2 linked regions of the Arabidopsis thaliana genome follow. The protein of the gene in region 1 interacts with the protein of each later gene in a biochemical or structural test. Each region holds a gene or a part of one and is shown in the gene's direction. Other genes may lie near its edges.

What was found.
Region 2: the proteins of PEX7 (region 1) and PEX5 form a complex in vitro, tested with the Arabidopsis thaliana proteins (one study listed by BioGRID).

Annotation. Positions count from the first base shown.
Region 1 is NC_003070.9:10,222,960-10,227,003, forward strand, and holds PEX7 (peroxin 7), read left to right. Parts: upstream 1-1,855; 5' UTR 1,856-1,963; coding exon 1,964-2,917; 3' UTR 2,918-3,363; downstream 3,364-4,044. Other genes in the region: AT1G29250 (Alba DNA/RNA-binding protein), read right to left, coding at 502-597, 722-786, 887-949, 1,183-1,231, 1,514-1,633. UniProt on the Arabidopsis thaliana protein: Receptor required for the peroxisomal import of proteins containing a C-terminal PTS2-type peroxisomal targeting signal. Specifically binds to cargo proteins containing a PTS2 peroxisomal targeting signal in the cytosol.
Region 2 is NC_003076.8:22,784,404-22,792,680, forward strand, and holds PEX5 (peroxin 5), read left to right. Parts: upstream 1-2,092; 5' UTR 2,093-2,251; coding exon 2,252-2,371; intron 2,372-2,656; coding exon 2,657-2,785; intron 2,786-2,881; coding exon 2,882-3,014; intron 3,015-3,364; coding exon 3,365-3,558; intron 3,559-4,020; coding exon 4,021-4,272; intron 4,273-4,609; coding exon 4,610-4,729; intron 4,730-5,031; coding exon 5,032-5,193; intron 5,194-5,548; coding exon 5,549-5,730; intron 5,731-6,100; coding exon 6,101-6,335; intron 6,336-6,432; coding exon 6,433-6,517; intron 6,518-6,633; coding exon 6,634-6,743; intron 6,744-6,830; coding exon 6,831-7,055; intron 7,056-7,134; coding exon 7,135-7,200; intron 7,201-7,293; coding exon 7,294-7,388; intron 7,389-7,490; coding exon 7,491-7,569; 3' UTR 7,570-7,903; downstream 7,904-8,277. Other genes in the region: CSN6A (COP9 signalosome subunit 6A), read right to left, coding at 13-91, 211-272, 472-565, 652-740, 830-1,127. UniProt on the Arabidopsis thaliana protein: Receptor that mediates peroxisomal import of proteins containing a C-terminal PTS1-type tripeptide peroxisomal targeting signal (SKL-type).

The DNA of each region.
Region 1 (4,044 bases):
AGTTAGCAAGTAATAACCTTATTGCACACTATAATACTTTCTTATATTTCTTCTAGTATGGTTACGTTTTAGTGTTAAACTAAAAGAACTGACAAAAAGAAAAAAATTAGATATAGCCATTAGTTATAACTTATAGCTCATGATGTCACATATGTATCATGTGGCTTACATTTGTTCAATTATCCCAGAGATAGTGATTTGTTATCCATAAGCCATATCACTAACCTTTTTTATGGACAGATTCCAAGTCTTCAAAATAAAATTTCAACTACATGTATTACTCTACATAATAAGGTTGGAAGCTGATTTATGCAACGAAGCCATCTTTTTTATACTTCCTACGATCTTTAAATAAAAATGCTCAGAGGTACAGAGGACACAATCCAAGGTGAAATAAAAAAGTGAACCAAAAATTAACGAAATAGAAGTGTCTTAAAATTAAGCAGATAGAGATAGGGAACGAAGAAATAAGATCGTTGAACAGAAAAAACTTGAAACAATCTAGTTTTGCTCTTGGGCTTCTGCAGCCTCCTTCTCTTCATTAGCTGCAGCCATTAGTTCATCAAACTTCTCAGACTTGGCAAGCGTGATCTCAATCTACAAGTCACAGTGTCACCAATTTAGCAACCAACATAGCAATTTCCCAGAGAACAAAAATCATTAGACGGAAGCTAGAATTCCACAGCATAAGCAATTTATCAAATGATTCGAAAATATATACCTTAGCTTTCTGCACAGGACGACCCCTTGAATCATCCTTGATATCCACAGTCGATGTCATGATCTCTGCAGGAAAAAACAATATCCAAATAAGCAAAACTTAGTCACTGAATCTTTCAAATCTCTTGTGCTAACATTAACTCATTCAAGATTAAGAAGATCTTACTCTTTTCAACAGCAAAGCCATTGTTCTTCAATATCTCAGCGACCGTAACAACAGTGGCAATAGCTGCACAACGCACAAATCAATGTTTTATGAGAAACCAGAATAAACTCTTCCAATAAAGAAAGCTCGGATAAGATATTACAAAATCACAGAAGATAAAAGATTCTATGTCATAACAATAAAAGGAAACAGCTTTTCTGATAATAACTTTGAATTTAATGAACTCAGTTACATAGTTTAAAAACCATACATATTAGATTTGATATATAAACAAGATCATAAAGAATAAACATTACCCATTCCTAGTGCAGACAATTCGACATCAGTGTACTGCTGCATGTACCTCTGTTAACAAAACACCAAACATGGTCAATAACATAAACAGGTTTAATCAAATCTAAAGAGCAAAACAAAGTTCACAAATCTAAGGAACAAACATTGATAAAGAGTCACATAAACAACACAGAACCACCAGTAATAACTCATCAAAGTCAATAACAGATAAATTAACACTCATGAACAATCACAGACATTTCCAGACTTGGTACTCAAATAAGAACACTTCGAATCCATAGATTTCAATCTAAATACGAATTTATTAAGATTCGATTAAAAGGGTTTCGTTACCTTGGCGAGATTGACGTAGAAGAACAATGGTTTCTTAGTGTTGGAAACTTGAATCCGATTCTTCTTCTGGGTATCAACAGCCAAGTTCATGTTGTTAACTCCTTCCGTGATCTCTTCCATTGAATCTAACTCAGAAAAATTAAAACTTCTCCTCTCGAATTTAGATTTCTCTCTCACTTTTATCTCAGAAAACGAATGAAATTGAAGAGACAGAGAGACGACGATGAAGCTTGAACCAAACCCCCAAAAAACCCTAACTTGAAATGCCAAACGACATCGTTTTAACACAACCTACACAAATGGGCTAGGCTCCAGCCCAATAGGCCCAATTGGGGGGAAAATTAATTCTGCGATGAGCAAAATCGGCGTTATCCGATCAGATCGTTGAATTGAATCTTCGAGAAGACTCTTCTTTTGATTCAATCACTCACCGGAGAAGAAGAAGAAGCTATGCCGGTGTTCAAAGCTCCGTTCAATGGCTACTCTGTGAAATTCAGTCCATTCTACGAGTCACGCCTCGCCGTCGCTACAGCTCAGAACTTCGGAATTCTCGGAAACGGCCGAATCCATGTCCTCGAGCTCGCTCCTGGAGCTCCAGGCGTAACTGAATCCGTCTCGTACGATACAGCCGACGCTGTATACGACGTATGTTGGTCAGAATCTCATGACTCTGTGCTCATCGCCGCAATTGGTGACGGCTCAGTGAAGATTTACGACACAGCTCTTCCTCCTCCTTCTAATCCGATTAGATCATTCCAAGAGCACGCGCGTGAGGTTCAATCTGTGGATTACAATCCCACGCGGCGCGATTCGTTTCTCACTTCTTCGTGGGATGATACGGTTAAGCTTTGGGCTATGGATCGTCCGGCGAGTGTAAGGACTTTTAAGGAACATGCTTATTGCGTTTATCAAGCAGTTTGGAATCCTAAACATGGTGATGTGTTTGCTTCTGCTTCTGGAGATTGTACTTTAAGGATTTGGGATGTTAGAGAACCTGGATCAACTATGATCATCCCTGCTCATGATTTTGAGATTTTGTCTTGTGATTGGAATAAGTATGATGATTGTATTTTAGCTACTTCTTCAGTGGATAAGACAGTTAAGGTTTGGGATGTTAGGAGTTATAGAGTTCCTTTGGCTGTGCTTAATGGTCATGGATATGCGGTGAGGAAGGTGAAATTCTCGCCGCATAGGAGGAGTTTGATAGCTTCTTGCTCTTATGATATGAGTGTTTGTCTTTGGGACTATATGGTGGAAGATGCTTTGGTTGGTAGGTATGATCATCATACAGAGTTTGCTGTTGGGATCGATATGAGTGTTCTTGTTGAAGGTTTAATGGCGAGTACTGGTTGGGATGAGCTTGTTTATGTTTGGCAGCAAGGGATGGATCCTAGAGCCAGTTGATTCATAAGTAAGTTTGTGATTGCAAAACAGTTTCATCTTTATTTGTTGTGGAATTGGTTTGGTTTTTGTTAAAGGAATGTAGTTGGAATAAAGTTGGGATCTTGCTTAAGAAGAAATGTAAGTTACTGAGAGTTTCACATATGAACAAGGTTATCTTTCGAATTGTGATTGATGGTAATAGTAGATAGATTGCTTATGTTCTAGTGTATATGTTAACCTGTTACAATGAGACCTGATTAACATATATATTAGGACTAAGATATATGTTAATCTTCTATAATGTCCAAAGTAATGACATAATATATATAAAGTCAATTACTTTAGGGTAATGTACCTTTTATAGTATACTGTAGAATTCGAATTTTGTTCTTTTTCATAGTTGATTGACTTTATTGAGTGGCATAAATGTACATATTTATAACTTTCTAGAGCATATTGCAGTTTCGAGCTTTTGCATTTTATGCGTCTTCAGGTAGAAGCTTATTAAAATCACAAGAACATTCTTACGGATCTTCCATTTCAAGAATCACTTTCTACTTATTACTTTACTATTATACCACTCTCTTTTTTATCTTATTCCATAGTATTAAAGATTCTTTTATTTTCTTATGATTTTTTTTTTAATATAGTACTCCGATCCCAAACAAAAGATCTCAAAACACATTTTGTCAAGTCACAAGACTCACAACCGTCTCAACTTTTGGACTAAATTCAAATCAGACAAATAATTGGGTTAAACATATGAAAGGGCTTGACATTATATCATATAGTATTAAAGTGAACTATAATATTGCTTTATCCACGAGGTCAAGAACATACTATATGTAATAGACACACATTAGTATTGACTTTTTATGTTAAAACTAGAGATTAAATTTTGTGAATTTAAATGACACATGTACGATCTTTTACTTTTGTTGTGATGCACGCGGAAGATGTTGCGAAGGATTAGAAATTGTTAAAAGAGAAGAAGGTGGTAGACTGCTCTTCATTTAGGAATATTTCTGACCATAAAACTTGTGGCATGGAAGATTATTCCTAAGAAATTATACGAAGAAGAGATCATTGTCGGAATAAAACATCGGTCTTATTTACAATGCAGTAGCATTGTACCGTGGAATATGCTT
Region 2 (8,277 bases), on another chromosome or scaffold:
CATAAGGCTCACACTGGGTTGCTGCTGAGCCTCCGTCAGATGGTTTAAGATGTGCAACATGATCAACTGATATCCGTTCAGCTTCAACTGTCTACATTGTATAACACCTCAAAATCTTAGTCAATGTACACTTTCATAACATAGATTAAATTGCAGAATGTTTGACAAAAAAAAAAAAAATTATTTGCAGAATCAAACTTAAGCACAGACCTCGATTGTGTAGCTTGTATGAGCGAAAATTAGCTGCGGGATTCCATCAATGACATGCAATTCTTCAAGTAATGAAGATCAATCAATGAAACAAAGAGAAAAGTTAGGATCTTGTAAAACAATCTGACCTAAATCTGGAAGTCAATAAAGATAAAGACTTGGGAAGATATCTAGAAACTCTGAACTACGCATATACCTATACTAACATGCTAACATATCAGAATGTACCCACAGAACCATATGACATTATAAGAAGCATACCACTTTCATAAATAGTCACTGGAAGATCCTTCTGTGTGTGATTGATAGCAGGGTTTAAAAGCACATAAACAGGAGATTCATTGATATCCATCAACTGTCACCAAGAGCAGACACAAAAACCACACTTTTAGAGACCAAATCTCAATTATACAAAAATACTAGAGAGAGCATTGGACTCACAGCTTTATGGATATGCATATCAGATTCCTCAGCATCACTTCCCGTAGAGTACCATCCCAGAATATAGAAATCAGGGAACACCTTCTTATCTAATAAACAATAAAACCAGATAAAAGTTCAAACTTTAATTTACGATTGCATCAATAGTTGAGAATAAAAAGAGTGAGCTTTAGCTTACAGAGCTCTTGCTTCTTCTCGAGGAAAGATCTATCAAGGGTTTGAGTAGAAGGATCATATAAAAGCTCGAAACTGTTGAATATCTCAACAGTACGACCTCTCTGGACACCGATCACACATCCGTAAACCCTAGGGTTTTGCTGGAACATTGCTTCGCCGTTGTTTGAGCCATGGCCGCTTGCGCAGATTGAAGCAGGAGGATTGAGCTGAGTTTTGACCCTAGTGTAGTGATCCGATATGTTGACGATTACCAAAGGATGTAGCTTGAAGGTTAAACCGCTTGATGACGAAGGTGCCATTGTCGATCTCTCTCTCCTTTGATGAATTCTTTGGTTTTTGGGTTTTTAGTTTTTTTATGAAGATTTTTTTTATTTAAATCAATGTGGATTCGGATCCTAGATCGGGTCTTCCGGGTCAACTATATGGATATTAGTTTTTTCTGTATGGGCCGAGCGTAGGACTTATATATGCGGTTGGGCCTCATGACTTGTTTTTCCAATTACATTTTTTCATTTTGGAAACTAATTATATTAATTAACAAACGAAAATAAGATAAACCAAACGATTGAGACTCATAAAATCAGATATCTGAAGTTGACAAAAAATGTACTAGAAATTTGAAAACAGACAACATTCATCAAATTTTTCAATATGAAAGTTCAATAGTTCAGTGGTTAGACTAAAGGTTATAATTTTTTCCACAAAATGTTTGATTTCTAGTGTGTAAATTCTTGCAAGTTAATGAAAGGAAAAAAAAATCTAGAGATGCCTAGCATATTGTAACTATTGTTGATGTAGATGAATTTTTTTTTTTTTTTTAGTTATTGATGAAATTAGTGAAGTCATGTTGGTCGTCCAAATGTGTGATATGAGTACAAGAGTAGAATCTACCTTCGTTTGTAACGCATTGCACAATCAATCAAGAAATATAACTAAACCCAGCAAAAATCAAGCAATATAATTTATTTATCTTTGGTATGATCAAGCAAATATAATTCAACACTAATAGGAAACTACAAAATTCAAAAGTGGCAGCAAATCGGACAAAAAGATAAAACATATCTTGATAAAGAAAGATAAAAAAAAACTATATTCACAACAATTCATTTTTAATTACGGATACTGTAAAAAACGGTTTTTTCACAAAAATAAATAACTAAACAAAAATGTGTTGGTGAGCCTAAAAATGTGTGTGGTGTGGATAATATATAAATATTAATTACCAAAATACTATCAAAAAATTTAATAATTTCTTACGAAGCTGTGACCAAACACAACAAACAAAAAAAACACCGCCACGAGACGAGCCAAACTAAAGATTAGGATTTGGGAGGTTGATGATCAATTCCGGACAACGGAGGAAACCATACTGATAGATTCAACGACGGTGATTGCGGCGGAGGAGTAGAAACCCGTTGGAAACATGGCGATGAGAGACCTTGTTAACGGCGGAGCCGCTTGTGCCGTTCCTGGTTCGTCTTCTTCTTCTAATCCTCTCGGAGCTCTCACCAACGCTTTACTTGGTTCGTCTTCCAAAACCCAGGTTAGCTTCCTGATTCCTTTTTGATCGAAACAGTGTTGACATTTGAAGTCTCCTGATTCCATTCTTCGCCTTTTCCTTGGTTCTCCTGGAACTAAGAAGTCGAATTAGATCTCATTTTTCGTTGGGTTTTGTTATTTGCTTGCCAAGTTTCGATTTTTCTTTCCGTAGTGTTAGGGTTTTAGACGTTCTTCGATTATGTCAAGTGATTTGGCTGACAATTGTTTAAAGGTTTAAAATTTCCTGAGAATTTGAAGAAATGTTGATGATTGGTGATTTGTTGTGCAGGAAAGGCTCAAGGAGATACCTAATGCAAACCGGTCAGGTCCTCGGCCACAATTTTACTCTGAAGACCAACAGATAAGGTCACTTCCTGGTTCTGAGTTAGATCAGCCACTTCTGCAACCGGGTGCTCAGGTTAATGTTGTGGAAAGTTTTGGTTTTACAATGGTAGTATTGACTCTGATTATCTAGCCTCTGTGATGGCTGATGGGTTTGCAATTTTTACATTAGGGGTCAGAGTTCTTCCGTGGTTTTCGCTCTGTTGATCAGAATGGTTTGGGTGCAGCTTGGGATGAGGTACAGCAAGGTGGACCTATGCCTCCAATGGGACCTATGTTTGAGCCAGTTCAGCCTACATTTGAAGGTTTGTGATTTGATCTATACCACTTTTATTTAATCCCGGATACAAAACGGTTAGATGTAGTGGTTTTGATATTGAATAAAAGGTAGTATATATTTTCACATATTCATCTTGAATCGAGAAGTACATAACATTATTTTTGTAGGAAGAGAAGTTAACACTGAAAGTGTTAGTTAGTAATTTAGTATAGCGACATGAAATAAATAGTGTGGTCATTTCTTTCCATGAGTCCTATTTCTCCTGAATGACACGTTGAATATTCATAGCTCTGTCTTAGTTATATAGCCTAATGTCGAGTGAGGCATTTTTCGTTTGCTTGCTTGATTAGTTTTTCCATTGCTTATATATTGCAGGACCCCCACAGAGAGTTTTATCAAACTTTCTGCATTCATTTGTTGAGAGTAGCCGTGGTGGTATTCCATTTCGTCCAGCACCTGTTCCAGTTCTAGGATTGTCACAAAGTGACAAACAATGTATACGTGATCGTAGTAGCATAATGGCCCGGCATTTTTTTGCCGATAGGGGAGAGGAATTTATTAATTCTCAGGTTTGCCATTTATCTGATAGTGTTCTGTAGCTGCAACATTGTGTTATATGCTTTCAACTTAGGTTTTAAGGGTCGAGTATATACTTAATATTTTGGTGTTATATCATTCATGCCCATTGCCCTTTTGAAATCAAGATCTATTCAATTATATAACGAAGTGTAATTACAAGAAAGTTCAGGTCCACTCTCCTTCATCTTGAGTTTAAATCAAAATGTAACATTTTGGAATGCAACGAGGTAGCACTGTCACTGTCATATATCACAATCATCTGTGGGTCAGGGCTTTTGTTTGGGAATTATAGCTGTTGTTTTACTTGGTAATTGTTCCTATCTAGTATGGATTTCTCGAGACCATGCCAGCTGTGCAGTATAGTTAAGCCTTTTGTTTGTTGCCGATGGCCTAAGCCGTTTTCTCTTCTCCATGTCGTTGGCTGAATATTTTGTTCGGCATTGTTTTTCAAGGTAAACGCATTATTGTCATCTTTAGATATTGATGATGGGATACAAGCTCGAGGTCATGTTCCCGGGAGATTTCGGGAGCTAGATGATTACTGGAATGAGTCTCAAGCTGTTGTGAAACCTAATTTACATCCTGCTGACAATTGGGCGGCTGAATTTAACCAACATGGGATGGATCATGGTGGTCCTGATTCATGGGTCCAGTCTTTTGAGCAACAACATGGTGTGAATGGGTGGGCTACTGAGTTCGAGCAGGTAACTAGCATAAATAGCTATATGATAGAAACTTTTTCCTTCAGTTGTTTGAAACTTCTCTTTGATTGCCCATCCCAAACATATGTTTATAAGCTTTCAATGAGTATCAAAGACATTATGAGGGCATTTATTTTGGTAGTGTAGACTTTGATTTCGATAGTCACTAGGGCATAGTTGTTCACAAGCCTGAATCTGTTGTGACTTTTTTTATGCTGTATTAGTCATCAGTGTTTGAGTCGCATTTGATATCCCAACAGCTTGGCTTTCTGATAATTTATCATGTTCTTCTGAAAATATTTGGCGCCTCATCCTTTTTATTTTCTTGAACTTTCTAAAGGGTCAATCTCAATTGATGTCAAGCCAAATGAGAAGTATGGATATGCAAAATATAGCTGCAATGGAGCAGACTCGTAAGCTTGCCCATACACTATCTCAAGATGGGAATCCGAAATTTCAGGTCAGTATAACCTACCATTAATAATTATGTGCTTTCGAAGTGAATTCCTTCATTTCTAAACAGCCTTTGATAGTAGTATCAGTCGGTCAGGTTGCTGTAAACTGTACTGTTGGACGACATATCTCTTTTCTGGGCTGTGATCTTTTACTGAACATAGAATTTTTTTTTGTTGGTCTATGTTCTAGAATTCGAATATCTCTGAAATCATATCACAAATTTTAATTATGCTTTTCCTGTTGACTTCATGTGCTGAGCTGTTCTCGATTTATGTAAAACTTGGCAAACATGTTTGGTGAATGCAGAATTCAAGATTCCTTCAGTTTGTTTCCAAGATGAGCCGTGGTGAACTTATTATTGATGAGAATCAGGTCAAGCAAGCTTCAGCCCCCGGGGAATGGGCTACTGAATATGAACAGCAGTATCTGGGGCCACCAAGTTGGGCTGATCAATTTGCAAATGAGAAAGTATGTATTTATTTAATGAAGTATCTGTTCACTTTAGGGTCTTACTTGCCACTTTAGCATGCTAATGTAATTGATTTATTGGTATACCTTTGTCTTGGATGGCCTTTGTATCCGCAATTGAAGCTCATGATGATAGGTTTAGTAATCTCGTGATTTTATATCTGTAACCTCTCTATAGTGGAAAGGCTTCAGCTTAGATCTCTCTTTGCACATTTTTCCAATGGTTCCTTATAGTTACAGAATCTGAAGTCCTGACATGTTAGAAAGTATATTGACAACGTATCATCTCTTTTTTCTCTTTTATAAGACGCATCACCCTGCATCTAACATAAGCTTCTACTTTGGTGTGTTACAGCTTTCACATGGACCAGAACAGTGGGCTGATGAGTTTGCTTCCGGGAGAGGACAGCAAGAAACAGCCGAGGACCAATGGGTTAATGAGTTTTCAAAGTTGAATGTTGATGACTGGATAGATGAATTTGCTGAAGGTCCCGTGGGTGATAGTTCAGCTGATGCATGGGCAAATGCTTACGATGAGTAAGTCCACTGTACTCTAATTGATCTATAATTTAAGTTCTCTTCTTCTTTTTTTCATTCTTCACAAATCTTATAAGTTCCCTTTCAATTCCATTCTGTTATCCTTGTGGGGGTAGGTAAGTGCAGACACAATGGGTGTTTTCAACTTATTTGTTACTTTTCCCCTATGCATTTCTCTCTGGTTCCTTAATCCTTGCTTAGGCGAACCTATTTTTGCAACTATGCAGTTTCATATCTACCATTATGATTCGCCTGTTTAAGGGATTATTTCTGATAACCTCCTAATTTTTATCTATGGAGTCTAACAATGTTTATCCAACATGCATCTTTGACTTTTAAGTTCATCTAACAAAAGTATGTGCCTTTCTAGGTTTCTGAATGAGAAAAATGCTGGAAAACAAACCAGTGGTGTCTACGTCTTCTCTGACATGAATCCTTATGTGGGTCACCCTGAACCTATGAAAGAAGGGCAAGAATTGTTTCGAAAAGGACTTCTGAGTGAAGCAGCGCTTGCTCTAGAAGCTGAGGTTATGAAAAACCCTGAGAATGCTGAAGGTTGGAGATTACTTGGGGTCACACACGCAGAGAACGATGATGATCAACAGGTTAGTTAGATTAATTTGCATGAATATTAATCTCCTATACCTTATCAAAATGATGAAACTTAGTCAATTTTCAAAACAATTGTCGTTGTGGATGCAGGCAATAGCTGCAATGATGCGTGCACAGGAGGCTGATCCCACAAATCTAGAGGTGCTTCTTGCGCTTGGTGTGAGTCATACCAACGGTCAGTGCATGTTATCTAGCAATATGTGTTTGTTTTGTTCACATATATGGATACTTGTGGTCATACATTTTTTGGAATTAGATTGGTAATTAAAATCTTGTTCTCTGTAACTACAGAGTTAGAGCAAGCAACTGCTTTGAAATATCTATATGGATGGCTGCGAAATCACCCAAAGTATGGAGCAATTGCGCCTCCGGAGCTAGCGGATTCTTTGTACCATGCTGATGTAAGTGCTCTTTCTTTTCTAAATTCTCCACAGTTGAATCTCAATATTTGTATTGAAACTTGAATTCCTTGTCTATGCTATAAACAGATTGCTAGATTATTCAATGAAGCTTCTCAGTTGAATCCTGAGGACGCCGATGTGCATATAGTGTTGGGCGTGCTCTACAATCTGTCGAGAGAGTTCGATAGAGCAATCACATCCTTCCAAACAGCATTACAACTAAAACCAAACGATTATTCTCTGTGGAATAAGCTAGGTGCAACGCAAGCCAACAGTGTCCAGAGTGCTGATGCCATATCTGCTTATCAACAGGTTCTGTTCTACGCACAGAAATCAAAACTTCTCAAAGTTTTATATTTCCGTCTCTTTCTGACTGTTTTTTTACTTGCAGGCTCTAGATTTAAAACCAAATTATGTTCGTGCTTGGGCAAACATGGGAATCAGTTACGCAAACCAGGTTTGATTTCAGTCTTTGTTTCTTGTTTGATGGTTGTTTATGGACTGGAACCAACTGAAATGTGGTATGCTATCATGTTTGTTATTGTAACAGGGGATGTACAAAGAATCAATCCCGTATTATGTCCGTGCCCTTGCGATGAATCCTAAAGCTGATAACGCATGGCAATACTTGAGACTCTCGTTAAGGTACAGTATAAGCTCGTAAACTCGAAAAACGCCATTTAAATTCCGATGCGATTTCTTACAAAGTCAGTTGATATTTTGGAACTTTGTTAAAACATAATGCAGTTGTGCATCAAGGCAAGACATGATAGAAGCTTGTGAGTCAAGGAATCTCGATCTCTTGCAGAAAGAATTCCCGCTGTGAGTAGACAAAGCAGACGATTAAAACCCTAAATCCACATGAAAATCTTACAAAGACGTTACGTCTTTTTGTTGTTTAGTTTTGTAAAAACTACAATTTAAAAATAAAAACTATGGGTTGAAAATTAATAAAATTGTTATTGTTTTTACCCTCGTAAAATAATGCAAAGAATCAGTAAGCAAAAAGGAATTGATACATTCATGATGCATTGTATAATGTATTGTAATAACTTGTCTTGGTCCAGAGAGAGAATGTATTTGTAATAACTTGACACTGACTTCAGAATTGGACGTAAAGTGACACATTCATGCATTGTATCAAACATTGTTAATCTGAATATATATATGGTCCCAAAATTAGTACTTAAGTGGGAATATATATCGTGGTCCAAAAAAACTTGAGTACAGAGATAACATTATTTGAATCGAATATGTTGTACTATAGAGTTTTTCTCAATCCTGTAAGGTTGGACCTATATATGCTCTAATTGCTAGTCTTTGTCTTAAACTATGAATGGGTGGGACTAATTACATATTTTAAACGCTATGCATAATGCATTTGACCTAGTTTTCTGCAGCGCACCGAAAACTTTGATGAACAGTGCAAAACGTGATAAACATATGAAAAACATTGCAAAAAAAGATTCTTACACTTGAATCCGCAGAATATCTCAGAGAAACAGTTACTTGCTAAGTGTTTTTATACACATAA